Linked DNA regions of Diceros bicornis minor. Each later gene encodes a partner of the first gene's protein in a complex. Links are inferred from orthologs where the notes say so. Each region holds a gene or a part of one and is shown on either strand. Other genes may lie near its edges.

The links.
Region 2: CACNB2 (region 1) and CACNG1 share a complex: the UniProt entries of both Homo sapiens proteins name them as parts of the calcium channel complex. The link is inferred for Diceros bicornis minor from reciprocal best matches to the Homo sapiens genes CACNB2 and CACNG1.

The regions. Positions count from the first base shown.
Region 1 is NC_080775.1:18,230,189-18,246,378, forward strand, and holds the start of CACNB2 (voltage-dependent L-type calcium channel subunit beta-2), read left to right. Parts: upstream 1-9,466; 5' UTR 9,467-9,476; coding exon 9,477-9,596; intron 9,597-16,190. UniProt on the Homo sapiens protein: Beta subunit of voltage-dependent calcium channels which contributes to the function of the calcium channel by increasing peak calcium current. Plays a role in shifting voltage dependencies of activation and inactivation of the channel.
Region 2 is NC_080757.1:48,246,324-48,262,529, reverse strand, and holds the start of CACNG1 (voltage-dependent calcium channel gamma-1 subunit), read left to right. Parts: upstream 1-8,844; coding exon 8,845-9,079; intron 9,080-16,206. UniProt on the Homo sapiens protein: Regulatory subunit of the voltage-gated calcium channel that gives rise to L-type calcium currents in skeletal muscle. Regulates channel inactivation kinetics.

The DNA.
Region 1 (16,190 bases):
TTCACTATAGCAAAAATGTGGAAGCAACCCATATGTCCATTGACAGATGAATGGATAAATAAAATGTAGATATGCATAAAATGGAATACTATTCAGCCTTAAAAAGAAAAGGAATTCTGACATATGCTATGACATTGATGAACATTGAGGACTTTGTGCTAAGCGAAATAAGCAACACAAAAGAACAAATCCTGCATAATTGCATTTATATGAGGAACCTAGAGTAGTCAAATGCATAGAGACAGAAAGTAGAATGGTGGTTGTCAGGGCGTGGGGAGGAGGGAGAATGGAGAGTTAGTGTTTAACCGGTATAGAGTTTTGGTTGAGGAAGACGAAAAGAGTTCTGGAGATGGATGGTGGTGATGGTTGCACAAAACTGTGAACGTATCTAATACCACTGAACTGTACAGTTAAAAATGGGTAAGATGGTAAATTTCATGTATATGTATTTTACGACAGTAAAAGAATTTGAAAAAAAATGAAAAACAACACAACTAATTTAAAAAATCCAAAATTATACTTGTAGATATCAACTCTCCTTTGTTATTAATTGGTAGAACAAGTAGACAAAAAGAAAGTACAAATATAGAAGATCTGAAAAACACTACAAGCAACATAATCTAATTTACATTTATCTAATATTCCACCCAACAACAGAATACAAATTATTTTCAAGTGTACACAAAAAATTCACCAAAGTAGATGATTTACTGAGCCACAAACATAAAACAAATCTCAAAAAAGTTAAAATGATTGAAAGTATATAAAGTGTATTCTCTGATTACAATGAAATTAAACTAAAAATCAAAAGCAGAAAAATATCTGGAAAATTTCCCATGTATTTGGAAATTTAAAAACTTACTTCTAAATAAACCATGGGTTAAATAGAAAATCACAAAGAAAATTCGAAAATATTTTGAATTGCATGAAAAGAAAAATAAAAGTCAAAATATTTGGATGCAGCTAAATAGATGCTTAAAGGGAAATTTTAGTTTCAAGTGTTTATATTAGAACAGAAGATAGCAAATGAATAATCTAAACTTCTATCTTATGAAACTAGGAAAAAAGAAGAGAAAAAACAAACTCAAAGCAGAAGAAAGGAAATGAGAAATATAAGGGCAGAGGGGCCTGCCCGGTGGTATAGCAGTTAAGTTCTCGCATTCTGCTTCACGGGCTGGGGGTTTGCTGGTTCGGATCCTGGGCATGGACCTAGTCACCGCTCATCAAGCCATGCTGAGGGGGGGGTCCCACATGGAAGAACTAGAAGGACCTACAACTAGGATATACAAGTATGTACTGGGGCTTTGGGGAGAAAAATGAAAAGGGGAAGATTGGCAACAGATATTAGCTCAAGGCCAATCTTCCTCAAAAAACATAAATAAAAGAAGGAAAGAAAAGAAACATAGGGGAAGAAATTTAAAAAAATAGAAACCAGAAAAACGACTAAGAAAATCAATGAAACCTAAATTGACTTGTTGAGAAGACCAATAAAATCAATACCCCCCCAGCCAGACTGATCAAAAAAAAAAAGAAAGAGTACACAAATTACTAATATCGGGAACAAAAAGGGAAATGTCATTATAGAACCTACAGGTATTGAAAGGATAATAAGAAAATATTAATAACACCTTTATGACAATAAAATTGATAACACATGAAATGGACAAATTCTTTGAAAAACATAAACTATCAAGGCTCAAGAAGACATAGATAACCTAAATAGCCCCATATCAATTAAAGACATTGAAATAATAATTAAAAACTTTCCCACAAAGGAAACTCCAGACCCACTGGTAAATTCTCCCAAATATTTATGACAGTATTACTAATTCTATACAAACTCTTCTAGAAAATACAACAGGAGGAAACAGTTCCCAACGTTAGCCCTCACTTTATGAGGCGGGAATTCCCCTGATACATAAACCAAGGCAAGGTAAATTATACCTTAAGAAAGTTATTTTTTTTGCTGGATAAGATTTGCCCTGAGCTAACATCTGTTGCCAATCTTCCTCTTTTTTTTTCCTCCCCAAAGCCCAAGGCACGGTTGTATATTCTAGTTGTAAGTCCTTCTAGTTCTCTGTATGTGAGCCGCCACAGGATGCCTACTGACAGACGTGTGGTGTGGTTCCGCCGCCGGGAACCGAATCCGGGCTACTGAAGCGGTGAGAGTATGGAACTTGAACCACTAGGCCATCAGGGCTGGCTCAAGAAAGTTATTTTTAAAAGAAAAAAATGTTCCTAGTAATGAAATGATCACTAGGTTGGTTCGATTTGGTACGATTGATCAGAAAAATCTAAAGAAACAGAGGCTTAAGCAATATAAATGTTTATTCCTGCCTCACTTAAAAGAAGTCTGACAGTAGGCAGTCTAGGGCTGGTATGGTGGCTTGAGGGTACCATCAACGACCCAGCTGCCTTTTGCTGTGCTCATTCAACTTCAGCACGTGGCTTTTATGTGGCTTTATTGTCTAAAATGTTCACTCATGGTTTAGCTAATACATCCACAATCTGGTCAGCAGAAAGGAAGAAGGGGAGCATTTCCTCGCCTTTTATGGATACTCCCTACAAGTTCTTCACCCCACTTTGCTTTCACTCTGCAGAAAGTAGCCACGTAGCTGCAAGAGAGACCGGGAAATGTAGTCTTTTATTCCAGGTACCAACGTGCCTGGCTAAAAACAGAGGTCCCATAAAAAGCGGGTATGGGCAACTAGGAATCTCAGATACAAACAAGCTGACTACTTTCAACGTGTAAATTCAGATGAGTTTCTTGATAAAGCAGGTCTCATCGTTTATAGTCTTATGACACATGACTGTACGTGTGTGTGTGTGTGTGTGTGTGTACTGCCCATAAAAAATTAAGATGTTTTGTAAAGAAATGGAAAGATATCCCATGCACGTGGATTGGAAGAATAAACATAGTTAAAATGTCTATATTACCTAAAGCAATCTACAGATTCAATGCAATCCCAATCAGAATCCCAATGACATTCTTCGCAGAAATAGAAAAAAGAATACTAAAATTTATATGGGGCAACAAGAGACCCCGAATAGCTAAAGAAATCCTAAAGAAAAAGAACAAAGCAGGAGGCATCACAGTTCCTGACTTCAAAACATACTACAAAGCAATAGTAATCAAAACAGCATGGTACTGGTACAAAAACAGACACACAGATCAATAGAACAGAATTGAAAGCCCAGAAATAAAACCACACATATACGGACAGCTAATTTTCGACAAAGGTTCTAAGAACATGCAATGGAGAAAGGAAAGTCTCTTCAATAAATGGTGTTGGGAAAACTGGACAGCCACATGCAAAAGAATGAAAGTGGACCATGTGCTATCGCCATTCACAAAAATTAACTCAAAATGGATCAAAGACCTGAAGGTGAGACCTGAAACTATAAAACTCATAGAAGAAAATATAGGCAACACACTATTTGACATTGGGTTTAAAGGAATCTTTTCGGATGACATGCCTACCCAGACTAGGGAAACTAAAGAAAAAATAAACAAGTGGGACTTTATCAGATTAAAGAGCTTTTATAAGACAAATGAAACCAGAATCAAGATGAACAAACAACCAACCAGCTGGGAGAGAATATTTGCAAAACATACATCTGACAAGGGGTTGATCTCCATAATATATAAAGAACTCACACAATTGAACAACAAAAAAACAAACAACCCGATCAAAAAATGGGCAGAGGAAATGAACAGACACTTCTCCAAGGAAGATATACAGATGGCCAATAGGCACATGAAAAGATGCTCAACATCACTAATCATCAGGGAAATGCAAATCAAAACAACACTAAGATACCACCTCACGCCCGTTAGAATGGCTATAATCACCAAGACAAAAAACAACAAATGTTGGAGAGGATGTGGAGAAACAGGAACCCTCATACACAGCTGGTGGGAATGCAAATTGGTGCAGCCTCTATGGAAAATGGTATGGAGAGTCCTCAAAGAATTAAAAATAGAGATGCCCTATGATCCAGCCATCCCACTACTGGGAATCTATCCAACGCACCTGAAATCAACAATCCAAAGAGGCTTATGCACCCCTATGTTCACTGCAGCATTATTCACCATAGCCAAGAAGTGGAAGCAACCTAAGTGTCCCTCGACTGACGATTGGATTAAGAAAATGTGGTATATATATACAATGGAATACTACTCAGCCATAAAAAAAGACAAAATCGTCCCATTTGCAACAACATGGATGGGCCTGGAGCGTATTATGTTAAGTGAAATAAGCCTGAAAGAGAAAGACAAACACTGTATGATCTCACTCATATGTGGAATATAAACCAACACATGGACAGAGAAAACTGGACTGTGGCTACCCGGGCAGTGGGGGTGGGGGGTGGGCACAAGGGGTGAAGGGAGTCATATATGGGGTGATGGACAAACAAAAATGTACAACCCAAAATTTCACAATGTTAGAAACCATTAAAGCATCAATAAAAAAAAAATTCTAGCCAATAAAAATCAAATTTTACTTTAAAAAAAAAATTAAGATGTTTTGGAAAGAAAAAGCATGAGAGACCAAGGGTTTGCTTATAAATGAGACATTCCTATCAAAAGAATGGGGCCATGGGAGAGCAAAAGATAGAGTCAGTTGGATATATTTCATTATTAATTGCCCGCGTGCTCACCTTCCAACTCTGCTTTCAAGCTGTTCTGAATTTCTTCCCCTTCCATCTTTGTATTTTCTATTCTTTTTGCCTGAAACATTTTTTTCCAGATCTTTTAAATTTCTCCCATAGTATTTTGCATGCATATTCTTCATACTTTATCTGTGTCTCGCCTGCTCTACTATGTATTCTATGAGTACAGGAGCCATTCCTAACTAGTTCAGTACCGTTATCCTTATTGCCCTGAATTATAGCAGGCACACACACACAAAAGTGGCATGAATTAATAACATTGTGGCTACTCATAGCTATTTGTGCGATCAGCCCCACCTCTAGTAAATACATTACTGTAGTCATCGAAGCATGCGAGGAGAAGCAATATGTAAATCTGTTTCTCCAATCAAAAACCCAGTGTTAGCCTGTGTGACACAGCTCTTTGAAGGCCACCAGACAGGCAACTGTGTTGAACTGAAAACAAGTCTTAGAATTGGGGTTTAAAAACATATGTTTAATTCCTGCTACTTGTCAGCTATTCAGGCTTGGTTAAGTCAGTTTCTGCTAGTTGTTCATCAAAATCCACTCTCCTTTTCTTCCTAAGGCATATGACCAGGCTATATGTCTCAGTCTGTCTTGTAGGTTTTTCATGTGATCGAGTTCTAGCCAATAAAATATAAGTGGAAGAGATGCATGCCACTTCCAAGCTTGGCCAATAAAAACTTACAAGCTCTCCCACCACATGTCCTCCATCATCCTTTTTCTTCCTTCTGGCTAACCCAGATGGGAACAACCATGGTGACATTGGGAGCCACATTTTGAAGATGGTAGATGTCACTCAAGACTTGGTTCCTAAATGTCAGCATGAAGCAGAGCTCCTTCTGAAGATGAATGACTACCCTAGTCTCGAAGGAATACATTTCTTCTTCTCTGATCCACTAAATATTTAGGGTTTATTTGTTACAGCAATTGGACTGATTCTAACTAACATGGAGAATAGTAATATCTGCTTCATAGATGAGATGACATCTGTAAATCCTTAGCACAAAGCCTGGCACCTTGTATGAAAAAAAAAATGGTTTGGATGAGAAATAAATCAAATAACAAATGAATGTGCTTTATAAACTAAAAAGTGCGATACGGTATTAGATATTCCAGAGCTCTGTCTCCTGGGTAGTTCTCAGTACTCATGAAATCTTATTACTTCTATAAAGTCTTTTCTTTGAAGTGAAATTAAGCTTTCCCTGATCACTTGCACATTTCAGTTGTAACCTTTCAGTACACACACGAACACACAACCATCTTATACTGGATTTGCATGCATCTTTACATGCTTTTAAATAACAATCTGTAATTCAGGGCATTCATCTTATAGTGTAAATTTACAAAACGCAAGTGTGTAACTTACTGGAATGCATTATAACAAGTTAGACCCGTGGCTGATACAGGTATATCCTTATGAAAATGCTATTAATTATGGAAGAGATCCAGAACTGTAAATGAGGTGAAAAATGATTTATTAAGCAAAATGGGAAACCACGTATGGCGAGTATCTGTCCTAAAGAACTCTTGCTCCAAGGTCTTAAACATAGTGACAAATGTGCAAGCAAGAGAGTAGGAGTAAAGTAACTGTAATCACTGTTTCTTCCACTTTTAGGGGGAAAAAACCTCCAACTCTGGCTTCCACCAAAGTTTCTTTCTTCCAATGTTTCTTACCAGCCCCTGTTCTCATTTCAGAGCATTAGTAATGCCCAGAATATGCCTGTCCATTACAACGACCAATGAGCACACTAAAGTTCATGTACAGCTTGAACAAATTAGTCATCTGCATTTGAATGCCTCCACTGTGGATTGCACATCCATTATTGCTGGAGTGCATCTGCATAACTTTTAACATTGAAAAGAATTAGGCTTTACTTACCAAATTTTAGTTTTCATCTGTGGCTTTTAAATACTGCCCAGTCAACGTATGTTAAAAACAAAACTGACCGTAATAGAAGGCATCCATGATAAGTTTCTCAAGCCTTTTCCCCCTCTGTATTTATTCTGATATTGTTCCCTTTTTTAGGTAGCAGTAACATTGTGTTACTTTTTCGGTGAAATCTTTTACAAGCCAGACTAGAATCTGATTGGGTACATTGTAATGTGTTAGTGTTCAATACATGTTAAGTAAATTAGCACAGGTTATAAAAAAAGAATTAATATAATGCTTTCATGTGAGTCATGATTAGGTAAATATCTTTGTATGTTAAAACTAGCATGCTAGTTTGCTATGTTTTAAGACACATGAAGACAGATCATTCATTCACTTATGCCAGAAGTGTTTTCAGGCTACAACTAAGTGCCAGACACCATGCTCCACGCTAGGGATACTAAGATGAACAAGACACAATTGCTGTCCTTAGGGAACTCTGTGTAGTGGCAGAAACATAAAAACAAAGAGTTCTGTATCATTAACTATATGAAAGGAATACAATATACTCTATCATATTTGAACATTTAATTCAAACTTTACTTGCCCTTTGGCTATACAAATAAGCATTACTAAAAATGATTTTCAAGGTTGTTTTGATATTTTGTGGTCTCTTTAAAAAAATCTGATGAAAGATAAAATTCTACTTCCCAAATGGTCATAATTAAAAGCGAATGCGTATATAATTAAGTATACTATAAGAAATTACACAGATGTCATGGGAAAACACTGTTTCATCAAACCTGGCGTTTTTTAAAACCATGTTAGAATTGTGCTTCATTCATTAATTAACTCAGTCAACAAGTGTATATTAATTGGTTAGTTTCTAAGTGCTTACTAGTTAGACTGTAAGCCCCAAGATTCCCAGTCTTTGTTGTCTGTGCTCCTCCAGTGGCACACATTAGAAGCTTGATGTATGCTTTCTTGAATGAATATTGAAAGAACTCAGGGCAACTTGCCAGATTCTGCATGTGCCCTGGTGAATAAGCGTGACTCCTACTCACACCGAGCTTACAGTCTAATCTAGAACCAGATTCAATGTTATCCTTGAGATTTAAACACTCTCCCTAGAAAAATAAACAGTTTCGTTAAATGAATGAACCTAGAAGAACCTATCACCTAGGTGATACCATCATATCATGGAGCTAAAATAGACTATTTTGAATACAATTTATTTTCCACTTTCATAAGTACATACATGCATAGATATACACATACACACGTACAAAAGCACTGCTGATTGTTGTAAATGACAAACTTTTTTACACATCTTAGCCAGGCCTTGGAGAAGGCTTGCAGCCATTGCTACAAAGCAGATGGTGCCCCCTCCTTTGCTGACTGACCACCCACCCATATCCTAACCAACAGCCTCCCAGCTTCCCAGTCTGTTGCTTTTCAAAATGTCACTTTATTATTATTATTACTATAAATCAATACTTTAGTGCTTCTATTTAATATTCAGTAAAATTTAAGCAAAAGTGACGAGTTTACACCAAAGATTAGAATAATCAATGACATTTTGGATATGCCTATATCTTTAACCATACCATGACCTGTTCTTTAAGCCTGACTCAAGCCAGAGTATGACGGAGATAGTTTAAAAATATCTACGTTTATCTTTAAGAACAAGTACTATATCCCATAATCATTTAATATACCACGGCAAAACATAAAAGGCAGCTGAAGCCCACGGCAGCAAATTTCTGTATGTACATTTCAGTATACAAAACTGTGTACACTCTGTGTTACAAAACAATACTGATGCCTGGAAAACCTTTTCTACAGAGAGTTCCACTGTAGTAAGAGTTGTTGAAATAAGAGGTATCCTATAACATGAAAAAATGTGTCTTATTAGGAATATCTGAATGGAATGTTCTAACATTCTTGCTATGGCCATTACTCTCTTATCAAGAGTTCGGGATCTTAAGGAAGTGCTTATTTTGTCCAAAATGTGGTACTAAGACTTCTCAACTCTAGAGGAAAAGTCCAATTCTGTGAATAACCAGCGCTGTTTTGCAGAGATGAAGACAAACGGGAGTCATAAAGGGGAAACCCCTGACTAGGGTCTGGAAGTGGTCGATGTGGACCTGGTAGGCGAGGCCAGCTGCAGATTCCCAGGAGACCGCAATCCTCAGGTTATCAGGCCCATTTCTGCTCTGGCTCGTCACTACTGCCCTCGTCAGAGCCTTCCACTACTGACTGGATGTCCTTCGTCGACACTTGCCCTCCGCGGCGCCCGAGGCCTTCGTAGGTTTCAGACGCTCGGTTGACGAATGGTCCCTCCCCAATCTCCGAAGAGAGCGACCTGTTCCCGCCCGCGGGCTGCGAGGGTTCCTGCGAGGCGGCTGGGGAGCAGAGGGACTGGAGCTCGGCGGCGGAGAAAGGCAGCTCCCGGGCGCGAGGCCTCGCTTTCGCGGCTTTGAAAACTTTCCAGCGCGCGTGCCACGGCGACGCGCAGCGGCTGGGCCGGAGCCCACGCGGCCCGCGCCGCCTGCGGGGAACTTTTCGGCGGTTCGGCTGCCTTGTCACTCTCGCCCGCCGACGCGCCTCCCCCTGGGCTCGCGCTCCGCGAGCTCCCTCCCTCTCGGCGAGGACCTGCCCCGGCGCCGCCGCCGCTCTGCGCTCGCCCTGCCCGGCCCCGGCCGCACCGCGCAGGGAGCCCCTCTCCCCGGCCACCCGGCCGCGTGCCGCGCCACCGCCGCCCGGCTCCCCGCGTCTCGCTCTTCAAAATGGCCCGGCCCCGTCCCGCGCCCTGAGAGCCGGCGAGCGCCGCGCCGAGCCCCGGGCGGCCCCCGGAGCGGGGGCGGGGGAGGGGAGGAGGGCACCCGCCGCGAGGGGCTGGCGGCTGCTTCGAGCCGACTTTTCGCCAATGGTCCAAAGCGACATGTCCAAGTCGCCTCCCACAGCGGCGGCGGCGGGGGCGCAGGAGATCCAGATGGAACTGCTGGAGAACGCGGCTCCCGCGGGGGCGCTCGGAGCGGCCGCACAGGTAGCGAGAGCGCGGCGCCTTCTCCTTTCTTTGTGAGCCGCCCGGGCGCCGACCTCCATCTCTCCGGGCGCCTCTTCTCCTAGCATCCCTCGCCTCGCCGCTTCCTCCTGCCTGGGTCTCCTCCGCCACCTCCTCCTTCTTCGCCCTTTGCCACCCACTGTCCTCTCTTGGCACCAGTGCCCCTGCCCCTTTTCGCCTTTCCCTGGCTCTTCTCAGGCTTCCATTTTTCTCTGCTTCCGAAAAGCAAGTGGGAAGGGGCGGGGGAGACCTCCCGGTCTTCAGAGGCTACCCGCGGGCTGCTCCGGTCAGCCCTCCTCGCCCCTTCCCGGGAGAGGCGCATGGAGAGACATGAACCAGGCGAGTGGACTGGACCTGCTCAAGATCGTGAGTCTGGGTGGCCGGGAGGGGCTCCGCTTCCCGCAGCTCTTGCTCCGACGCCGACCCTTCTAGACGTGCTCTGAGCTGGGGTCGGAGTGGGGGCCGTGTGATGGGGTAGGGGGTGGGCGTGGGGGGTGGCGTGGGTAGGGGCGCTCTGCCCCTGACTCTGGAAGCAGCCTTGAACACCTCCCGCACCTGCGGCGTTACACCGCGTTGACAGCTAAGCTCCCCTCCGGGCGCTTGCCAGGGTTTGCCTGGACCCCTCGTTCCTTTCTCTTAAGAAGAGAGCGAGTAGGGGACGCTCAAGTTTTTATTTTTTTTCATTTTCCCTGAAATGTTAGCCATTTCGGGGAGCTCAGGGACCACCTTCCTCTCCTATGAGTATTAGCGGTTTCTGGAAAAATTACAGTTAGCTGCCGGTTGTGAAATAGGAGATGTCAGTTGTAGGCGTTGGGCAACGATAAGGTGGCTTTTACGTAAGGCTTTTGGCAGGTACAGTTTGGATTCCAGACACCTCTAGGTCTCAGCGGTAAAGTCTCTCTCAACTTTTATCCTAGCAGGGAAATGACTTAAGACTCCTAGCTGTGGGCTGCTTGGCGAGTGATGTGAAGAGCTTAGAGTTACATTTCAAGCATCATTTTGGAGAAATGTCTCTTCTTTGCTTAACGATATTGGCTTGTTGATTTCAAGTCTACATTTGCCAGACTGTAAACTGTGGTGAGATTATATATACATAATGCTCAAGAGAGGGCATGTTAAAGTAGTATTTACTGTAGTAAGTAGAGCAGGAATGGGACAAGGTAATAAAGGTTAGGAATGTTTTGTTGCTTGTTATTGTTTTGATAGGTGGTGGAAATTGACAGCTCTAGATGTTTTGAGACTGTTAAGAATGGCAGTTCCAGTGGCATAAGTGTGGAACTTTATTCCCCTTTCTTTTACCACTTAAAATACATAATTCACTTTGGTTTGAGATGGGAGAAGAATGTAGAAACCAAGAACTTGTATAATCAGAAGTCCATTTGTTTCGTAGAGATAAAACAGCTCAATTTGTCTCCCTTGGGCTGTCTGGCTGTAAAGCAGACTGGGAACATGTAACTAACCACTTGCATTTCCTTCGAGCCTCTGCCAGTGGACCTGAATCCTTACCGACACATGTCACGATTGTTCTAGATTCCTGATTTTATCTAGACACTTACCAGGTTAGATAGAATGGGAAATGTACTCAGAGACCTCGGTTATTCCAGGATGAAGGTCTTGAATATTGATAGAGGAAAGGACTTTTAGACCCTCCTTTCTCTTTGATCTTCCTTCAAGGATTTTTTTTTTTTTTTAATTTTTATTCCTGTGATAAAAATAGAGTTCCTGAATTCCTGGAGATCAAAGTTAGGGCTGACAGAAAGCATGACCATTCAGATAAGAGGTCCCCATTTACTTAGTGATTTACATGGTTAAACGTAAGTCAACAAGTATTTTTTATGCAGCTGCAATGTGGAAATGATTCAGATGTGGGGAGACACAATTTCTGCCCTACATTCCAGTAACTGCAAGTATGACCAATGTATGACAATTGTATAGCATGGGTCTATGGGAGAAGAACTGAATCTTATAGGTTTCAAAGGAGTAAAGATCACAAATATTCTACTTGGAGTAGTCTGTAAAGACTGCATAGAAGAGGTGGCGTTTGAGAAGAGATTTGAAGGGTGGGTCAGATTTCAACAGAGATATTCAGAGAGAGGGTAGAGAGCTATACAGGAAACAAAGTCACAGGAGCTAGGAGTCTTAAAGGATACATTTATAATCTCTAGTTTTAAAAGAGTATGGAAAAGCACAGATTGGGCATAGTTAGATGTAAGACTGACAAGGCAATCTGAGGCCACATCTTGGGGGCTTGGAACGTGTAGTGTATTGAACAATATAGAGAACCGTGGAAGGGGTTCAGTGAAGGAGCCACGTGGCAGCTCATTCAGAAGATTCATCTGGGAATGTTCTGCAGGACAATTTGGAGTCTCAGGAGTCCAGAGGTGGAAGTGCCAGAAGGGAGATGGATATAACAATTTGGACAAGAGGTAATAAGGCTTAAACTAAAAAGAGAAAAGATAATGGATATGACAGGACTACGCGTGAGACGTTTCAAAGACTGAATCCACAGGAATAGGCAAGTGATGGCATAGATGCATGAGAGAGAGCAGAAAGGGAGGAATGGGTATTATAAGCAGGTAAGAGGCATAAAGATTCAACTGCGTCAACATCCATCTCCTTGTTTTCTCTACCTTCCAACAATGAAAGCAGTTTTCCTTGAATTGTGTTCATATCACATCCATTATTTCAGGGAAAGATTGCCTTGTTTATTTCATCTCTAATAAATCATGGCATCATAGGGCTAAGAAACTTGGCAAAGGTTCTATTCCATCTCTCTGGGCAGGACCGGCCAGCAGTAAAACCGCCTGAGAAGGGAGGCTGTCTGAGGAGCAGCCCCCTTTTGTGTGGCACTGAGTAACAGGAATTCTACTTAGAAATGGAATTTTTACTTGCAAATGGTACTTCTAAGCAATCACTTGTTTTAAGAATCCTTTCTATTTCACCTCTGGATTGTATTACAAGTTCTATAGGAACAAAGCAAAAGATGCAGATTCACAGACTGCCCATTTTCCTTTTTTATGTCAATAATCCTGCCTGGGGTTGGGGCACGCTCATACATACCAACCCCTTCCCTCCAGCACACTGGCATAAACAAATGGATGTATTCTTACATGAGAAGCAAGTAGCAATCTAACTGCAAATTCTTGAAAGTTCTGATTTAAGCAAATTGAATCGCTTTTTAGGTAGCCTGTTGAACAGTTTCAGTGCAAACTTGGACACAATCTACCTGCAAAATCAGGGGCCTAATGTAGGATTCTCCTTCAAAGCTCCATATCTGCACTGTCCACTATAGTCGCCACTAGCCACATGTGGCCTCTGAGCACTTGAAATGTGACTGGTCTGAACTGAGATGTGCTATAAATGTAAAATGCCAGATTTCAGAGACTTAATATGAAATAAAGAATATACAACATCTCAGTAACTTTTATGTTGATTACATGTTGCAATGATAATATTTTTGGATATGTTGGGCTAAATAAAATACATTATTGCAACTAACTTCACCATTTTACCTTGTTAATGTGGCTCCTAGAAAATTCCAATTACCTGTGTGGCTTCTATTATATTTCTCTTGGACAGTGTTAGTCTAAAGTATGGCACAGGTAATTCCCCGGGGAGTTGACTAGATCCTGTATGAAGGCTGGGTGGATGGGAAGTAGGTGAAAGGGATAGAGAATAGGATGGTGACAGAAGAGGAAATGGACGAGCAACGAGAGCGGTATCTTAGCACTTTAGGCCTCAAAGAGATTGTAACCAGCACCTCCAGTTACACCTGAAAATGAACAGACAGTAACCAGAGGGCCTGTTTGTTTTGCTCCTAGCAACAGAACCCAGCTGGTTCCGCCCCAGCTGAGTTTGCCAGATGCTTTTCAAGCATGTTGTAGTAATACAGCCTGGTAATGGCAACATCCTGCATCGCTGTAGCACGAGCTTTATCTAAAAAGAGCCGCAGCCATGCTCCCGTGGCTCTTGAACCATATCAGTACTGTGTTCCAGAAATATTCTTAGGTCCGACGTCTAATTTAGTCTTTTGCGGTCTCCAAACTTAGTGGTCATGGGTCCTGTGTTTTATGCCTTGCTAAACCTTTCGTTCCTAACCCCCATCACTTTCCAACGGAGTGGTATATTTGTTCTGGTGTTTCATGGGAGAAATTTTAAAACGTGCCAGCCGCAATTTCTGAGTGTGTTCTAAAATGCGAAATATAATATCCGACTAAATGAGTGATTGAGGTTTAATTGGTCTTGGAGTTGTATGTGTCTTGTCTTTTTGTATTTCCTTTTATGTAAAGACTTAGTTTACCTGCTGCTGTATTTAATTCCTTGGAATTATCCGGTATGTAGCCTTGGGCCTTTCAAGAAAAGCTGAACAAAATATGTTAACCCTGCAGGAGGTGGTGGCCCTCTTTGTTTTGTGACTTTGGGACATGTCTGTGTCCTACAAATAGTATATGGCATTACTTACTTTCACAATGACAGGGAGTTAAAATTAATGATAACACCACTTCGAGTACTTGGGTCTGTCTGACGGTTCTCTCCAAGCCTGGCCTGGAGGTAGATTGGGAAGAGGGCAAGGTTGGTCTGTGCCCTTCTGCCACCTCCCTGCCCCTGCATGTCCCCACTAGGCATATCTCTGCTTCCTGGCCTCCTGCCTCTTCCCTTCTGTACCTGCCAGACCCCCCGAAAAGCTCTGTGTATGCTGCCTCTTGATTCCCTTCTGCTTTTGTGTAAACTGACGCACTATAAAAAACAACTTATGTTTTCCTTTTTGTAGGGAGGTAATCTCAATTACTTCTCTCCTAGTAAAGGATCTGACAGCCTCATTCACACTAAGCTATTGGTAAAGGAGATTTCACGTCTGATTCCTCTCTGGATAGTTTTGGCTTTCTTTGCTTTAGACCATAAGACAAGGAAAGTCCCCAGTTCAAAGGGATAAATATCAATGAATGCTAACTGAGAGAGATGAAGCTGACTTCAGCCATCAGCGTTATGCTCATGGGGAGTAGTAGTTTGTAGGTAGGAGAACTGTCACCATATCCATCAACCACAGATGTGGCATCATTCTTAAATCTGTCCCCAGGGGCTGTTGAGCCAGCTCTGTGCAGGACTGGGCTGAAATCTCCAGTTATCTGGCAGCTTCTATAATTTACTACTACTGTCTGCTTCAATCGTCCGGAAATTAGATTTTAATTACCTGTGGAAATGTGACCATTTATTTGCTGATTTTAAGACTACAGTCCAATTTTGAAAGTTAGTTATCAAAGAAGACATTCATTCACATGACGCTGATGTTAACGTCATGAAGAATGTTGGATATCTTTTTAATGTCATTTATATATTTCATAAATCTTTTTTTTCCCTAGTCTCTGAAATCTTAGCTTGGTTGATATTTTAGGAGAAGTAAAGGACTTTAAATATATGGTTTTCTTTTTTCCTTTTTACTATGGTGACATAATTTGTTTTTATTAAGCTGCATATAACTAATGGGCAATGCGTGGAAATTAGTGCCTTTTAGGACTGTGTTCCAAGAAAAACTTAGGGGTCTGCATGTGTCACTGAGAGTGTTATGGTTTACATTTTGCACTCTGGCCAAACCTGGGCAGTTTTGATTGTTAACTGTCTCCTATATTGGGTATTCATATGTTTAGTGTTGCTAAAAAATATTTGGATAAACCATTGGTCATAAAAGTAGCTGCCTTTGAAGTAGCAAATTAAGTAAGAAAACTATACTTCTTCTCCAAATTTAGTCAACTAAATATCTGAATACTTAATCTTTCCTGTCTTTTTCCATTTGGGGGAAGTTTGGCCTTAATTTTTTTTTTTTTTTTTGAATTCCTTCGTATGAAACACTCTTCTTTTTATTTTCAACGATTTAGAGTAACTAATGAACAAGTAATTCCGGCCAGATGGACTTAAATTTAAATATGCATTCGACTAAAGGAAATTTCATTTTGTAATGGTGGTATAAATTTTCACTAACATTGTTTAAAGTACATAAAAATGGACTATTATCTTTCCAAAAGATGCTTTAATTTTTTTCTTGATCCTGGATATTGTTATAAAAAAATAACTAGTCATTGAGTCATTCTACAGTTAAAAGTTAAAAAAGAAGATGATAGGAGAGAAATTACTGCTGAAATTAGTAAAATAGCAGAATAGAGGTGTAATTAAGCCTATCTATTTTGGCTTTTAATATGATGTATAACGAATAAGGATTTGCTGTAACATTATTAAGGCCTAAACAAGTTAATACTTTGAATAAATCATCCCTCATAAATTTAAGTGACTGAAAGACAATATATTTTTCTCAAAACTATCACCTGTTTGCATGTGATTCAGTGTTCCATAGCTTTTTAGGGTACAAACTGTGTCTTGGTACAGTTGAAAACTGCGATAATCCGGCATACATACGTTGCATAGGTAGCTAAGTATACCTGAAGTAATGTTTATGAACAGTATTCCCAGGGGCCTGGAAAAATTAATGTAATTTTTAAAATGTGTCTAATTGCTTGCAGAGAACTGAGCCTCTGCTGGGACTGAATGTCTTAAATATTGTGTAGTTCTCACAATGCCTATTAT
Region 2 (16,206 bases), on another chromosome or scaffold:
TCCTCCACTCACCCGAGGGCGGCACTGGGCAAGTCACTCGACCTCTCTCAGAGCCCAGTTCCCTCCTCCGTCAAATGAGGAAGGTAACACTTCCCTCCAGGGTTGTTGAGAGAGTGAATTAAACTTGAACTTACACAAGGAAACATTTGTAAATACCCCAGCTCAGCAACTGGCATTAGAGTGAGCTTTCAGGAGTGTTTGTTGACTAACAACACTCAAAGAGTGTCCCAAAATGGATTGTTCTAGAACAGCTCTTGGAGGCGGTGCTCTGATAGCCAGGCCCATAGGGTGTCCGCGCCCACTGCACTTTGATTTGGGAGAAACTCATCATCCAGCGGATCTAGGTGCCGTGCCCACCCCAAGAGAGGGCTCCTGCCTCAGCTGCCTCTCTGGCTGAGGCCCATTCATTTCTACCCTCAGTGGCCCCTGGGCTGTGAGGTGGTAGTGGGCAAGGTTGCCACATGGCTGCTGCTTTCTTTGCAGGCCCTGGAGGCCCCCACACCCCACTGGGGCATTTCCAGTTCCACACAGGTGATGCAGGTTGCAAGAGCCCAGTCCTGACCACTCTCAAAGGTGCCCTGGGAGCCGGGCTTCTCAGGGAGGGTCCTCTTCTGGGTCCCTAGTGTGGAGTGAGCAAAGAGAGGCCTGAGGGGAGGGGAAGCAGATGGGAGGGGGAGGGGAGGCCTCCCTCCAGGGAGCTCGGATCCAGCCACGTGACTTAAGCTCCCTGCACTGGTTCCTAATATAGCACCCCTGGCTGCCCAGCCCTAGAGATGAGGGGTTGGGGGAGGGATGGAAGGGGTTGCTCAGGGACCTTAGAATCCAGAGGAGGAGAGAAGGCAAATACACCTGATACAAGATATTTTTAAATTTGCAGCTTCCAACAAAACTGCCAGTGCAACCTCAGAACAGAAGTCCATGCTCACAGAGGGTTACAAACCCACCTCCTTATGCTTACAACTGCAGGAGAGGGGGCTTGGTGGGACCTATGTCCTGACCTTTGTCCCCTGATAAGTTTTCTGGGAAATACATTAACCCCTGTGGGATCGCCAGAATCTACAAATTAAACTGCAATAGCCAGGTCCTTAAAAAAAAAAAAAATACTATGTCTTCCTAATTCTATAGTAACACATTTTACCTAAAAAAAAAATCTGAAAAGTAAAGCAAAGTTAAAGAAGATAACAATATCAGCCAAAATCCCACTCTCCAAGACGTAAGCACAGTTAACATTTCAGTGCACCCAAAAGTATGTGGGGTATGGGTTCATACCCTGCCTCTGTTCACTGTTTTTCATCTTGAGAATCTTCTCCCCTCTTTCAATATTCCTCAAAAACATAATCTTTCACGCCTGCATAAAAAAGAGATACCACCATTTATCTAACCAGTGTTCTATTGCTGGACACAGCTTGTTTGCTTAAATGGTGCCTGAATGGGGCCAATGCTGGGATGCTTAGGATGCATTTGGTTCAGATCATTTGGTTAGGATCTGGTGACTTCCCACTATGAACTTCCAGCCCAGCTTTATCCTAGAAGCTGATGAAAAGATGAGGCTCCTTGTCCACCAGCAAACGCAGACAGGCTCTTGTCCACATACACACCCGGGTGTCTGGGCTGTGGGGATAGCAGCCTCCCCTCCCCACTCCTGCCCGGCGGCTAGTCAGACTCATCCCACGTTCCTCTCGGAAGGCTGGAGCTGCGTCCCTTCCACCAGGCCTCACAGTTAGCCGTTCTCAGCCACACAAAGTGTAATTCCTTACAGTCACCAAGTGTAGCAATTCATAGGGCTGTGTAACAAATTACACCCAAACTTAGTGGTGTTAAACAACCATTAAATATGGTCAGGATGGCTTATCTCTGCTCCACAGTGTCTGGGGCCTTGGCTGGAAGACTCGATGGCTGGGGGCTGGACCCGTCTGCAGGCTCATTTGCTCACGTCTGGCACTTGATGGTGGCTATTGTCAAAGACCTTAGCTGCAGTTTTCAGCCTGAATGTCCACATATGGTTCTTTGTGTGGCCTGTGGTTTCTCATAGCATGTTGTCCGGGTCGAAGGGCGAGTGTCCCCAGAGCAAGAGAGAAAGACAAAAGTCTCAGAAGTCACACAGCATCCCTTCCTCTGTACTTGAAGGGTGAAAACAGTCAAAAGCCCACTTTTGAGTTCAAGGTGAAAGGAAACAGACTCCACCTCTTGATGGGCAGTGACAAGGTTCTGGAAGAACATATGGGAGCAGAAAGACTTCTGTGGCCATTTTTGGAAGACACAGTCTATCGCCTAGTCTTTCCAGTACCCTCACCTGGCTCTAAGCCTCTTCTCCACCCACTAACCCTCCCTTCCATCCTCCATCACCCCTGTGCCCTCTGGATCTACCCACATCCTTACTGAAGTCTCCCTCCACCCCCTGGGATAAATAAAATCTTCCTCTCCCCCAAGGACACACCTTCTTCCTGTCCTCCTGGTGAAAGCTGTCCATTCTTCTGCAGGGATTCCCTGCCCAGGTTCCCAATATAATACTCCTAGCTGCTCAGCCCCATATGCAGTCCCAAGAGGTGTGGGGCTGGAAAGGGAGAAAAAGGATCTGAGGGACCTTAGGATCCAGAGGAAGACTGGGGCAGATACACCTGATACAGATATTTTTAAACTTGCAGCTTCCAACAAAATTGCTGGTGCAACCTCAAGAACAGAAGTCTGCGATCAGAGAAGGTTATGAACTCATGCCCTTGGACTTATAATTGCAGGAGAGGGAAGTGGTGGGGGATGCTGAGACCTCCAAACCATTACTCCTCTACCTCCTGGGGAAAAGCCTTCTCTGAGGGCCTGAGTGGACCATCCTGAACCCTTTCTCATCACTGTCATCTCCCAGACTCCTTCCTGGCCACTCCTTCATGTCCATCAGAGACTTTACCTCTGGCTCAAAGCCATCCTCTGTACCCCAACTCCTGCCACCATCAAACTGAGCCACGTCAACATCCATGGGGCCAGCCTCTCTGACTCCCTGGCCTCACAGCTCTCCCGTCTTCTCACCTCCATTGACCATCTGGACTTCTCACCTCCATTGACCATTTGGACTTCTCGCCTCCATTGGCCTCTGGCCTTCTCACCTCCATTGGCCATCTGAACTTCTCACCTCCACTGGCCATCTGAACTTTTCACCTCCGTGGACTATCTGGCCTTCTAACTTCCAATGACCTTCATCTCCAAATTGGAGCTTGTCATCAGTCCTGACTGTTCCCCCTGTAAAATTCAGGGCCGTTTTCCTGCTCTCTGACCACAGCTTCCAATGCTCCCAATTATTTCACCTCCTCACCACCACTACACGTGTTCTCCAAACTCATCAAGCCCTTCAGGCCTCTCCATTTTCTCCCAATATATCAACCTGCCTGGTTGCAGGACCACCCTAACCAGCCCATACATGGCAAGTCATCACTTAACCCTCGCCAATGCCCTCAATTCCCTGGGCCCCTTTTCCTTCTAGCTTTTCCCTCCCGGAAGAGCCCCAACCCTCCTTCAGTCTCACCTTCCATCTTCTCCACCCCTGTGCCTGAGCTACAAGGTGATGCCAGAGAAAATCAAGCAAATCGTAAATCAGTGCCTATAGTAGGCAGAATAATGGCCCCCAAAGATGTCCAAGTCCTGACCCCTGGAACCTGTGACTATGTCACCTTACATGGCAAAAGGGACTTTGCAAATGTGATTAAGGATCTTGAGGTGAGGAGATTTTCCTGGGTCATCTGGGTGGACCCAATGTAATCACAAGGGTCCGTGTATGGGAAAGAGGGAGGCAGGAGAGTCAGAGAAGGAGATGTGATGACAGAAGCAGAGGTCAGCATGATGCAACAGCTGGCTTCGAAGAGAAGAGATCTCGATCCCCTTGGCAGAGGCAAAGGCCCGGTTTCAGCTCACAGGATGGAATTGGGGGCAGCCAGCCTGAAGCAACAGAGGGTCCAGGTTGAACAGTGCAAGGAGGGAGATGACGTTGTGTAAAGATGTTGGGACCAGTTCAGTGGCACTTTCCTTTTTATAGTATCTTAAGATCAAACACCCAAGGCCATTTCTCAGCCTAACTAAGCCTGAGCTCAGAATTACATCAGCACATTGCCAAAGAGGATTTATTTGGCCCCCACCCAGGTGTGCACCAGCCTGACTCTGAACGAGGCCCACCTCCGGGAGGTGTTTTCCTCCCTCTAGTTATGTTCTGGTCTTTCTTGGGAAAAGAGCAGTCATTTGGGACAAATGAAAACTGGTACATCTGGGCAAGTAAAATACAGACAACTCTCGATTAGCTGAGTGTGGCATATCTACTTTGAAGAGTGTCTGTAGAAAATGTCAGATCTCTGGAGGCTGCTTCCTTTTGAACTTGATCGCAGAGGCGACAATGGTGCCCTCCTAGGGCGTCGCCTCAGCACCTCCAAGCAAATTGGCCCTTGGTCCAAGCTGTCCTGGTCTGCCCCAGCTGCCATTTCTTATGTCCCTGTGGCCTTAAACCACATAGAAATGTCCTTTGGATCATCTGGCGAAGTAAATTATTTGAGCTTCTGTCCCCTTGTTCTTTCAGTCCCTCTGTCTGTCCATCCACCCACCCATCCATCCATCCAACAACCATTCAACAAACATTTATGAAGATCCCACCTTGAGCTCAGATCCAGAGGGCTCTCTGAGGAGACCCAGAATGAGTACATAATACACTCTCACCATCCCTACCCTCCAGAAGCTTATAGCCCATCAGAGAAGGCTCATCCATCTGTAGTCTATTAATAATAATAATAAAATAACAACAACAATTGCCATCCTGGATCAATTGCCTACTGTCTTAGTCTGCTCAGGCTGCTATAACAAAATACCATAGACTGGGTGGCTTAAACATTTATTTATCACAGTTCTGGAGGCTGGAAGTCCAAGATCAGGGTGCCAGCATGGTCGGGTTCTGGTGAGGACCCTCTTCCTGTCTTGCCACCTTGTTGCTGTGTCCTCACGTGGCAGAGAAAAAGAAAGGGCAAGCTCTCTGGTGTTTCTTCTTCTTTTTTTTTTTTTTTTTTTTTGGTGAGGAAGATTTGCTCTGGGCTAACATCTGTTGCCAATCTTCCTCTATTTTGTATGTGGGTCACCACCACAGCATGGCTTGATGAGTGGTGTAGGTCTGTGCCTAGGATCTGAACCCATGAATCTGGGTCACCAAAGCAAAGCACACTGAACTTAACCACTATGCCATGGGGCTGGCCCCTGGTGTTTCTTCTTATAAGGGCACTAATCACATCATGGCGTCCCACCCTCATGACCTTATCTAAACCTAATCACCTTCCAAAGGCCCCTTCTCCAAATACCATCACACTGGGGTTTGGGCTTGAACATATGAATTTGGGAGGCGGGGAAGGACACAATTCAGTCCATAGCACCTACCATGGGCTAAGCCGGTAAAGTGCATTATCTCTAATCCTTATACCAGCTCCCCAGCCAGGCTCCACTGCTCTCATTTTATAGATGAGGAAAGGACGGCTTAGAGAGGTAATGACTTGCTGGAAGCCACACAGCTGGAGCCTGGCAGAGCAGGGATCTGATCCTGGGGCTGGCTGGATCCATCACCAGCAGGCTGGTTCCCACTCTCACATTGCCCTCCTTCCTGATGCCCTGGAAAGGGCAGGACCTGTGCAGAGGATGCTGACGTCACCCAGCCCCAGCTCCCACTAAATGCCAGCGTCCACCAAGCCCCCTTCCTGGCCCAGCAAGGCCCTGGGGAATCGAGCAGACAGCCTGGCAGTGGCCTCTGTGAGCAGAAAAGGTCTGGATGAAGGAGCCTTTAGTAAACGAGGGAGAGAAAGTAGACTCGCCTGCAGTACCTGGAGCTGCCGGCCTCATGGAGATCTGCACAAAGCCTACTTCAAAAGGAAGAGGCCATCAATCTTTAATGCTTCTGCTCGCTGGGCTGGAGGACTGAGGACCCCCTCATCGGCACAAACCTGCCCCCACTGAGGGAAGGCACAGCCTGGTTTCTCTGATGGGCCTGCAGTGTTGTCGTGGCTGACACTGGGAGCGCCCTGTGTGTCAGGCCCACTTAGGGCACTTCCAAGACCTTCCAAGGCTCCTGGCACTGGAGAGCTTGGGACGCCCACCCCCACCACGCCAGGAAACTCAAAATGCATTTTTATTTCTTCAAATGACACCATATCTACTTGTGCTAAAACTAAAATCGCTTCTTTCTTCTGTCTTAAAACACCAGAACCTTCTTCTCACTCCCCGACTGCTGCTTTGCTGGTGTGCCTGGCACACAGGCGGTCTGCCTCAGGCTACCCAGGGTCCCCTGAGAAGCCGGGCTGCCTGGCTCCTGAGGCCGGGCCACAGGGCGGTGTGAGGTGCCGAGGCCATGTGCCATGTCAGCCTCCAGGAGTTCTCTGTGGAGACGGCCCACCTCCCCGAGACAGACGTCACTCTCTGAGCCAGAGCAGGGCGGTGACAGGCGTCAGTAAGTCAGTCGGTTGTGATGGGTCAGTTCCACTGGGATCCCGGAGTTGGGCGCCAGGGAGAGAAGGGGAACAGGGATGAGGAAGGGGGAGAGAGAAGCTCTCGGGAGATTATCACCTGGGTGGGGAGGCTGGTTTGTAACATGAAAACCCAGCTGTCACTGTCTCAGATGTAACTGCCCTCACGCCTGACTGTGGCTGGAGGTGCGCGGTCTCTGCTCAGCTCGGGGGCTTGTTCACAGGGTGGTCCTGGCTTGTCACATCCTCTCTCTAGGCTGCAGGTTACTTTCGTCGCTCATGACAGGGTTCAGGACACTCTGCCCACAGGTATGGCACGTTGACATATTGAATAACTTCAGCTGAAGGAATCTGAGACGTGGCGGGTGCAGGAAGGACGCTCTGACCTTACCCTGAAGCGGGTCAGAAGACCCTCGTGTGAGAGGCGCCCTCCCCGCACCGTTCACCAAGACGCCGGGAGAGTCCAAACCAACAGGCCGCCGCCTCTCTCGTTGACTGCGCTTAGCTCATGCCTCTTTTTGTCCTATCATATTTTTTCATTTTCCGCTCTTGATCACACCTGGCATAAAAACGCTCAGATTTAACTGTTCCTTCTGGTCTTTGTTTCTTGTGTCAAGGCTCCCGGGTCATGTATAACTGATATGAAGTAAATTTGTATGCTTTTCTCTTGTTAATCTGTCTTTTCCTATAGGGACCTAAGCTGAGAGCTTAGAAAGGTAGAGGGAAAAGATAGTTTCCCTTTCCTGTAGTCACAATAGATCTTGAAATTTCCTCCCAGCTCCAACCATTGGTTAAAGAGTTTGGGCTCTAGGTTCTGAAAACTGGCTTCACCATTTACCTGCTGTGTGACCTTGGACAAGTTACTTCATGTCTCTGAGCCTCCATGTCCTCATCTGTAAAATGGGAGTAATAGCTGTTCTCCTCTCATGGATTGGTGTGAAGATTAACTGCAATGACATGGAAAGGCTTAGCAGAGTGCCTGGTATGTAGTAAGCACTCACTGAATGAGCTGCCATTACAATTATCATTATTATTAACAGTCTGTGCCTCCAAGGCTGGACCCCTGAGTGTTAGCCGCACACAGGCAGGCAGGTTTTCTGTAATCTGTGTTGACTTGAGCCAGGATTTTGAAGCTCAAAGCCCTGCCCAGCTGAGGGGTCTATACGTGGCCACGCATCAGCCTCTTAGATACTCCCCAAAAGAGGCACCTGGTGAACTGAGAAAGAAGAGACGCAGAACCCAGGAGAGTTGTAGGGGCTAGAGCCTGGACTACCAGCCTGGGGGGCACATGGGCAGGCAGGACTCTCGGATGGTGGTCCCAAACTCTCATATGTCCTCCACTATATCCGCACGCCCATTAGCCTCTTAGCCACTCGTAAGTCAACCTACTTCTGTTCTTTTTTACTTAAATATATTTATTTTGTAAATGAAAACCCAGCTGGGAAATCTTTATTGCCTGCCATTAATAGGGGTAAAACTAAAACAGTAAAATGAAAACAGAACTACAGTCAGGTTCAGCTGGATTCTTTGTCCTCTCCAGGCTATTTGATTTGCAGGCAGCAGAAAGGTGTTAAAGACTTACCCCAAATGGAGCTTTTCTTCTGGACCCAACTAGAGGGATGGGAGAAGAATTCGGAAGGAAATAACATTCTCACATCGGGCACAGTGTTCGGTAACGCCAAGCCCAGGAAACACCTGCCATCGTCCTGTGGTTTGGGGATGTGCTGGGCTTGGGGCCAAAGCATTTGCCTGTGAGGTGGGCTCCAGAAGGCCTGGGCAGGGGATCCCCAAGATGTCCCGAGGCAGGATCCTTGGTCCCCCAGACCTCCAGGACAGGGACCCACCACCCCACCCTGGTGACCGGCCTGCCCAGTGGAAGAACAGAAGCGTGTGCTGCCTGTATCCCCCAGGGTCCCCTTTCTCCTTCAGCCCAGAGCAGGCAGATCCCACACCCCGTAATGTCCCTGTTGCCTAGCCCTCGTCGCCTCCCAACTCAGGTATTCTGAGCAGTCGCTCCGTAGAGGTCTCAAGTCACCATCTAAAGCCTTCTCTCCTCGCTCCTCCCTGGGGTATTTCTGGCTCCAAGAGGGGAAGAAAGCCCTGAAACCCGAGGCGACACCGTCGTCGGTGACACGCCTGGAGATGTGCATTAATAGAAGCCTCCCTCAGGCCCCTGACACGTCTGGGCAGCTGCTCAGCCCCATCCAGTGTCCCTCAGCCCCAAGGCCAGCCCACTCTGGCTCGGCCGGGCACACTAAACTTAGCTTCCACCCCCCGCTCGATAACCGCCGCCACCACCCCAGCCCGGCTGCCACCTGCCCAGGGAGACGCTGCCACCGGACCTGCCCCGAGCGCCCACTCCTCCGCCATCGCCATGTCCCAGACCAAAGCACTGAAGGTCCGCGTGACCCTCTTCTGCATCCTGGTGGGCATCGTGCTGGCCATGGTGGCCGTGGTGACCGACCACTGGGCAGTGCTGAGCCCCCATGTGGAGCACCACAATGCCACCTGCGAGGCGGCCCACTTCGGCCTCTGGCGGATTTGCACCAAGCGTATTGTCCTGAGCAACAAAAAGGACAAGAGCTGCGGACCCATCACCCTGCCTGGGGGTAACGTACTCACTCCCTGTCCCCCGTCCCTGCCTCCTGCTCTTCCTCGTCCCCCTGGAAAAGTTGCCCCTGGGAAAGAAGGCAGGTTTCTCCATCTCAGAACGGACCACCGCCCAGCCCTCCGGGCCCAGGGAAGAGGATCTGAACTGCATGCGGTTCTGCTGGTGGCCAGAGCCGGGCTGTAAAAAGAGGGCACGTGTCTCTAGCTATTTCCGTCTTGGGGAGGCTTGGGGCTTTTCACCCAGAGCAGAGGGCTGGAGTAGTGGGACCAGAGGCTCAAGAAAGAAACCGAGGATCCTCCAGCTTAGGGGCTTCTGGCCCCAGAGTGGTCATTCCTCCGGGTGTGCCCAGCTCCACTCTCTCCCTGCAGAGACAGGCTAGGTGGCCCTATGTCCTCAGGCTGAAGGGACCCAGGAGGCTGGCATGTTCATTCCCCAGACTCCAGGCTGGGGTGTAGACAGGATCGGCTAGAGAATTTATGGGGCCTGGTGCAAAATGAAAATGCAATTAAATGAAATTGTGATCATTTTTAAGAATTTCAAGGTGGCGACAGCAAGGCATGAAACCATGCAGGGGTCCGTTGCAGGTGCAGGGCCTTGAGCGAAGCACAGGTCACACGTTTGTGAAGCAGGACCTGGTTGGCGATGAGCCACCTGCCTTTTTGTCAGAACTGTCAGTCCTTCTGTAGGTCCTCCCTCAGCTCAGACCCCTGAAGAGCTGGAAAGCATTTCCTTCTGCTGTAATTTAAGTGCATTCCTCGATTTCCTACCACGTGACTGAACCACACACTGAAGGTGAGCTCCTTGTCAAGAATACCTGATATTAGGGTGACCAGTCTATTCTGCAAACATGGAGCCCTCTGCATGCACAGCAAACAGAGCATGTGCTGAGAGGAGCCCTGCGTGGAGAGTCAGAGGCCTGGGCTCTAATGATGCGTTGCTCACAACCCCCGAACAACTATCGGGTGTGACAAAGCCCATCGCAGCCTCTGCTTCCTCCTATAAAATACGGTACTTGGGCTCAGCAACATAAAGTCCCTTCCGTTGCTCACAAACGTCCCTCCGAGGAGGCAGTGGACAAAGGTGAGTGCAGGATCCCACCTGGTTTTCAGAATTATTCTCTGTTATCAGACTGGGTGTTCCTTGAACTCTGTCCTTCAATGGTGTCCGTGCTAAATCCCCAAAGATCTTTTAGTCTGTGTGTGGGACAAAGGGGCCTAAACCCCCTTCTCTCTTTCCTCTTCCTTCCCCTTCTGCTGGCTCCAGGAAACCCTTGCCTTGCTCATTCCCACTGGACACCTGGAAGACTCGTAAATACCCAGCTGTCTTGGAAACACCAAGTCCCAGGGCTGAGGACTTTAATAGGCATGGACATGTGCTTGAAAAGTATCACATAGCACAGAGGCCCACGCCCCTCAGCCATGGCTGAGCACGCCCGTAAACACATGCATCACTGGCCAACTCTCCTGGGCAGGGCAGGGCAGGGCAGGGCAGGGCAAGGCAGATTCTCCAGGGACCACACAAGGGAACGCAGTGTTACGGTTCTGCCCACCTGTCCTTGGAGGCACCTGCCTTTTAAAGTCTGGTGAGTTTATAGAGCCGATGAGCAGGGAGGTGAGCTGAGTCTATACAAGGAAGAGACAGAGTGGCGGGATGTGACTGGACTAGCCACAGGGGACCAGCAGGCATGGCTTGGCCTTGAGCCTCCTTGAGCCTAGACTATGCCTTCTTGCCCTGGTCCAGAGTGAATCATCCCTCTCATACTCGTGAGCACTGCCTTACCCCCAAGGAGCTTCCGAAGTGTGCTCCTGCCTTCTCCCCTCTCCTTTCTCTGCAAGTGGACATCTTTGTCCTTCCCTGCCCATTCTTCCTGTGCTCTGTGGGATCACTCTTTTCTGGAGGGAGGAATAGAGTTCATATACATTCTCTCATGTATTATTAACAACAACAATAATAATAACTGCAAACAGAAATATAGCACCATCTGCCAAACATTGTTTTTTGTTTTAAGTGCTTTACATATATTAACTTTGGATGACATCAGAAGAAATGACAGAATAAGAACCTCCAAAAATCTTCTTCTTTATAAAAACTATGAGAACACTGGCAAAATGGTCAGAATAAACTTTTTCAGAACTCTGAAAATTATCCAGCTATCCAGCTATCCAGCAAGTGCTTATTCAAGAAAAAATGGTGAATCTCAGTAAGAACAGCGAGCTTCACGGTGTTTTAACTTGCTCTATTTGCGTTCCTCCCTCCCTAACTCTGTCATAGCCTTGAAAACCACCAGTCTGCCATCATAGTGAAAACCATCAGCCTGGTAGCCGTCAGACAGGACAGAACAGGGCTGGATCTCTTTCAAAGCCTCACTCCCAGAGAATTGTCATTATTTGATCTCTCTGGTGGTTCCTGGGAAGTCTCCACTTGCAAGGCTGTCTTTATTTGACCTGAGCTCGTCCAGCAGAGTAGTCTTTTTCCCAGGGGGCATTTGTCAAAAACAATTAGAAACAATTGCTTAATATCATAACTGCCTGAGGCAGTAGATAACAGTTAGGGCAAAAAATAGGCTAACTAAAAAACTAGGGCATAAGATGTCCAAGGTGGCTTTGAAAAGCTCCAACACATTCCTGAGAATGTAGAAGGCCAGGTGCATGCACAGTGCTATATGTGTGCACAGGGAGACCAGAGAAGGTCCTAGGCTCTCACCTCTGGCTTATCTTGAGCCTGCACACAAGCAGAAAGTGAAGGCTAAGGCAGAAATATAGATGCCTACCTGAGTCCTTACCTCTCTGCTGAGCAGAGAACACTTCAGTAAAGACTGAGAGATGCGTTGGTTCCAAGCATTTTAGGAAATCCCTATGAGCTGACCACCAAACTAACTGAGCAGAGATTTCAGTGGCCACACATGACAAAGAATACAGACTTAACAAAATTAATTCAGAAAAGTCACCAAACAAACAACAATAACAGACGGCAACAGGGACTAACCCTGGGGAAGGGTAGGAATCTGATTTTCAGAGTTGCTAGATTCTGCTGTTTAAATTATCCAGTTTTAATTTTAAATTTAAAATTTTAAAAAATTACAAGACATGCAAAGAACTAAAAAAGTAAGGCCCACATGTAAGGGGAAAAAAGCAATCAATAGATCCTTAAGGAAGCCCACATACCGGACTTACTAGACAAAGACTTTGTCACCTATTTTAGATATATTCAAAGAACTAAAAGAAACCATGTGTAAAGAACTAAAGTAAAGATGAGAATGATGTCCCAAGAAATAAAGAACATTAAGAAGAGATAGAAATTATTTTAAAAGGACCTGATAGAAATTCTGGAGTTGAGAAGTACAATAATTGAAATAAAAGATTCACTAGAAGGGTTCAATAGCAGATCTGAGTAGGCAGAAGAAAGAATCAGTGAACTTGAAGATGGGTCACTTGAGATTAGATAGTCTGAGGGACAGGCAGAAAAAGAGAATGAAGAAAAATGAACAGAGCCTCAGAGACCTGTGGGACAGTATCAGATGTACCAACACATGCATAATGGTAGTCCTAGGAGAATAAGAGAGAGAAAGGAGTAAGAAATATATGTAAAAAAAACAATGACCAAAAATTTCCCAAATTTGATGAAAAACATTAATTTATAAATCTATGAATCTTAATGAACTCTAAGTAGCATAAATCCACACCTAGACACATGGTAATCAAACTGTTGAAAGATAAAGATAGGGGCTGGCCCAGTGGCGTAGCGGTTAAGTTCGCATGGTCCGCTTCAGCAGCCCAGGGTTCAATGGTTCAGATCCTGGGCACAGACTTAACTCACCACTCATCAGGCCATGCTGAGGCAGCATCCCATACAGAAGAACTAGAAAGGACATACAACTATGACATACAACTATGTACTTGGGTTTTGGGGAGAAAAAAGGAAAAAGGGAGGAAGATTGGCAACAGATGTTAGTTCAGGGCCAATCTTCCTCAAAAAAAAAAAAAAGAAGAAGAAGCATCTCAGTGCAAATTCTTTAAAAAAAAAAGAAAGAAAGATAAAGGCAGAGAATCTTGGAAGCAGTAAGAAGCCACTCATCACATACAAAGGCTTCTTAATAAGATTAACAGCTAATTTTTTCCCAGAAACCATGGAGGCCAGAAGGCAGTGGGATGACATATATATGTGTGTGTGTGTGTATATATATATAAACTCATTTAATCCTCACTAAATTCTCTATGAGGTCCATACTATTATCATCATCCCATCTTGCAAATAAAGAAAAAAAATGAGGCACAGAGAAATTGAGTGATTTGACCAAGGTCATGCAATTACCATGGCAGAGCAGCGAGGATTCATACCCCTAAAATTCACCTGCTTAGTCAATACATCATACTACTTTACAACAATCCAGTGAAGAGGCTCTCATTCTACAGATGGTTCTCCTTCTACATGTGGGAAAACTGAGGCTCAGAGGGGCCTTCCCGTGGCTAACCATCTAACAAGTATAAGTTCAATATCCAAGTCTCAAATCCAGAGCCTTTTTGCTCTCTAGTTCCCTCCTATATCCTCCACTGTACAAACAAACACAGCCCTTATAAGCTGCTGACCCAAGCAAATACATAAGAGGCCAGCTTTTGACATGATGTGGTTTAGAGGAAGCTGGACCAGGAGCTGGTGCAATAGAGGAGACTTTTCAAGGTCCTATTCAGCCATAGAATGCTGGAGGCTCTGAGGACACAAATTGCTAATTTGGTTTTCCCACTGACTCAAAGAGTCTTAGAAGGACTGTCATACACAAGATCAACATCTGAGGTCAATTCCAGTGCCTCCAGAATGAGAGTAGGGGCTTCCCCAGTTGTCAAGAGAGGCTGTCTGTCTGCAAGCCCAAGTGAATCCCCAGAGGGGTCATCCCTTGCCCTTGGGCTAGGTGGAATGTGGCTTCTTTCAGGCTCTGCCTCTTTAGGGCAAGGCAGCAGCTTGGCCCAGTGCCCTGTTTCCTCAGTGGCCCATCTTTTCTTCCAGTACTCGATGCAGGGCCTGGGGCCATACGAAAGCACTGATGCTACTGACCTCAAAAACTTTAGGGGTTCCCTTTCCCATCCACAGGAGCCCATGCTGGAGACCCAGGCCATAACTAGACTTCTCCCCCATAGGACAGCAATGCTCTGAAGCTCTGGGGTTGGGCTCCAGGGATTTTTCCAACCATTTTATAAAAGTCTTCACTCAGAGAGATTAGGGGAAACAGAGCACAGAGAAACCACTGTTGCAAGCATCAAGAACTTCTTCCACAAAAAGGGTGAAGACATCCCTGGCACTGCTGCAAGTAACAAGTGGATGAAACATTTCTTCTGACCCCTAAGTACTAGTTCCCTTAGTTTTGTACAAATCAACAAGGTATTTTTTAATATATAAGTCTGCATCCACCAGCACTGGGTACACTGATGCATTCTCAGTGACAACTCAGAGGCATCCCATGATCATTCAAGCTGTTCCAACAATCAGAAAAAGATCTCTTATTAACTCAAGTTCAGCTTGGCGTTAAACGAGCCTTCTGTTTCAGTTCTTTGAAATTGTCTCAGTTAGATATGGTTCTGCCTAGATAGTCACTCCCTTAACCAGAATTTTTCATTAGCCAGAATACTTCAACCCCACTCAAGCCCAATAGCTGAGTTCACCATATTTTTTAAGTAATAACACACTTAAAGTTTTTAGACCACTAAGTCATGACTGTTTATGGTAGACATTTCTGAAATACAAATATTAAAATCACTGTGAGCCATTTGCAGAGACAAAGGATGACGGAGGAGCCTCAGAGTTCCCAATTATGGTCACAGATCATCACCCTGGTGTTGGTTTCTCCACCAACTTGGTCCAAAGCACTTGCTTGTTCTGCTTGGTGAAGGGGCTGGAGCCCATCGAGGCAGAGCTGCAAGCCCTGAGCTTTGTGCAAGTGTGATGGAGGCAGAAGGGGGCGTGGAGGCACATCAGAGAGGCAGAGGCAGGAAGGCTCAGAATCTGCACACAGTCTGCACAGAGCTGTCACTGCCCCTGTCCTCCACACCCCCTACTTGTGACTAAGTGCCCCACACAGGGCCCATCTCGATGTCCCTCCTTTTCAAGTTGCCCTTAACACTCAGTTTACTCAGACACCACCAGACAAAGGGGCAGGGGTGGGGTCTGCCCCTCTCAGACCCATCAGACCCTGGGCAATTCTGGAGTGATGCTGACAGATGCCTGGCTTGACTTGTCCTAAATGAGCATCTTGTTGGTCCTGGACATGTCCAGGCTGAGGCCTGGGTGTGACATGCCCCCACCACCGCCAGGGCCACCAGGGACCACAAAAGAGCTTGTGGTCTCCAATGGGCAGCCATGGGGCCCTGGGGCGGATGATTCTCCAGGGTTCAGGGCAGAAGACTCTGGCCTTCCTCATGTGCTAGTCCAAGAGAGGGGACAAGGTTGGCCCATCCGTCCTCAAGTCCTAAGTTCAACTATGTCAGATAGAAGCTGAGACTTCCAGATGTTCTGAGTGGGAACCCCACCCACTGGGTGCCCTCCATCCCCCACATGTGAGATCATTTCATAGGGGAGAAGAGGGAGGGGAACATTGTACCTGGGCCACTGAGGGGAAGAATCCACCCCCTCAAGAATCTTCATGCTGGCTTCCCCAGACATGCAGCCTCCGCCTGTGGTCTGAGCTAAGACAGTTTTTATGCAAGCACCTGGGAGCAGCAGCAGTTCATCCAGACTGCAGCCCGGTATTTACCTGGTGGGGGTGGATAAGCCAAACACTACCTGTGCCAGAGTATCCTCGGCACCCCAGAACCGCCAAATAGCTGTGCCCTGGCCAGGCTCTCGATGGGCTTTTATCTCGGGCCTCTGCCCCGAAGGCAGAGCTCACAGAAGACGAGTAGTCAGGGAGGCAGCTGACGGTGAAATACACTTGAATTCAGTCGATTCTTTTCGGAGGGTTTTCAATGACAACCGCAATTGGCCCTTAAAGAATGAAACAGAAATGTTCCTTTGTCCAGAAGAAAACACGTGGAGACTTATGACATAGCACGAACCGTTTGGGAGCAGTGATTCAAGAGAATCTATAGCGAATAATCTAACCAATGTAAGAGGGTTGCATTAGGCTCTAAAATAGCA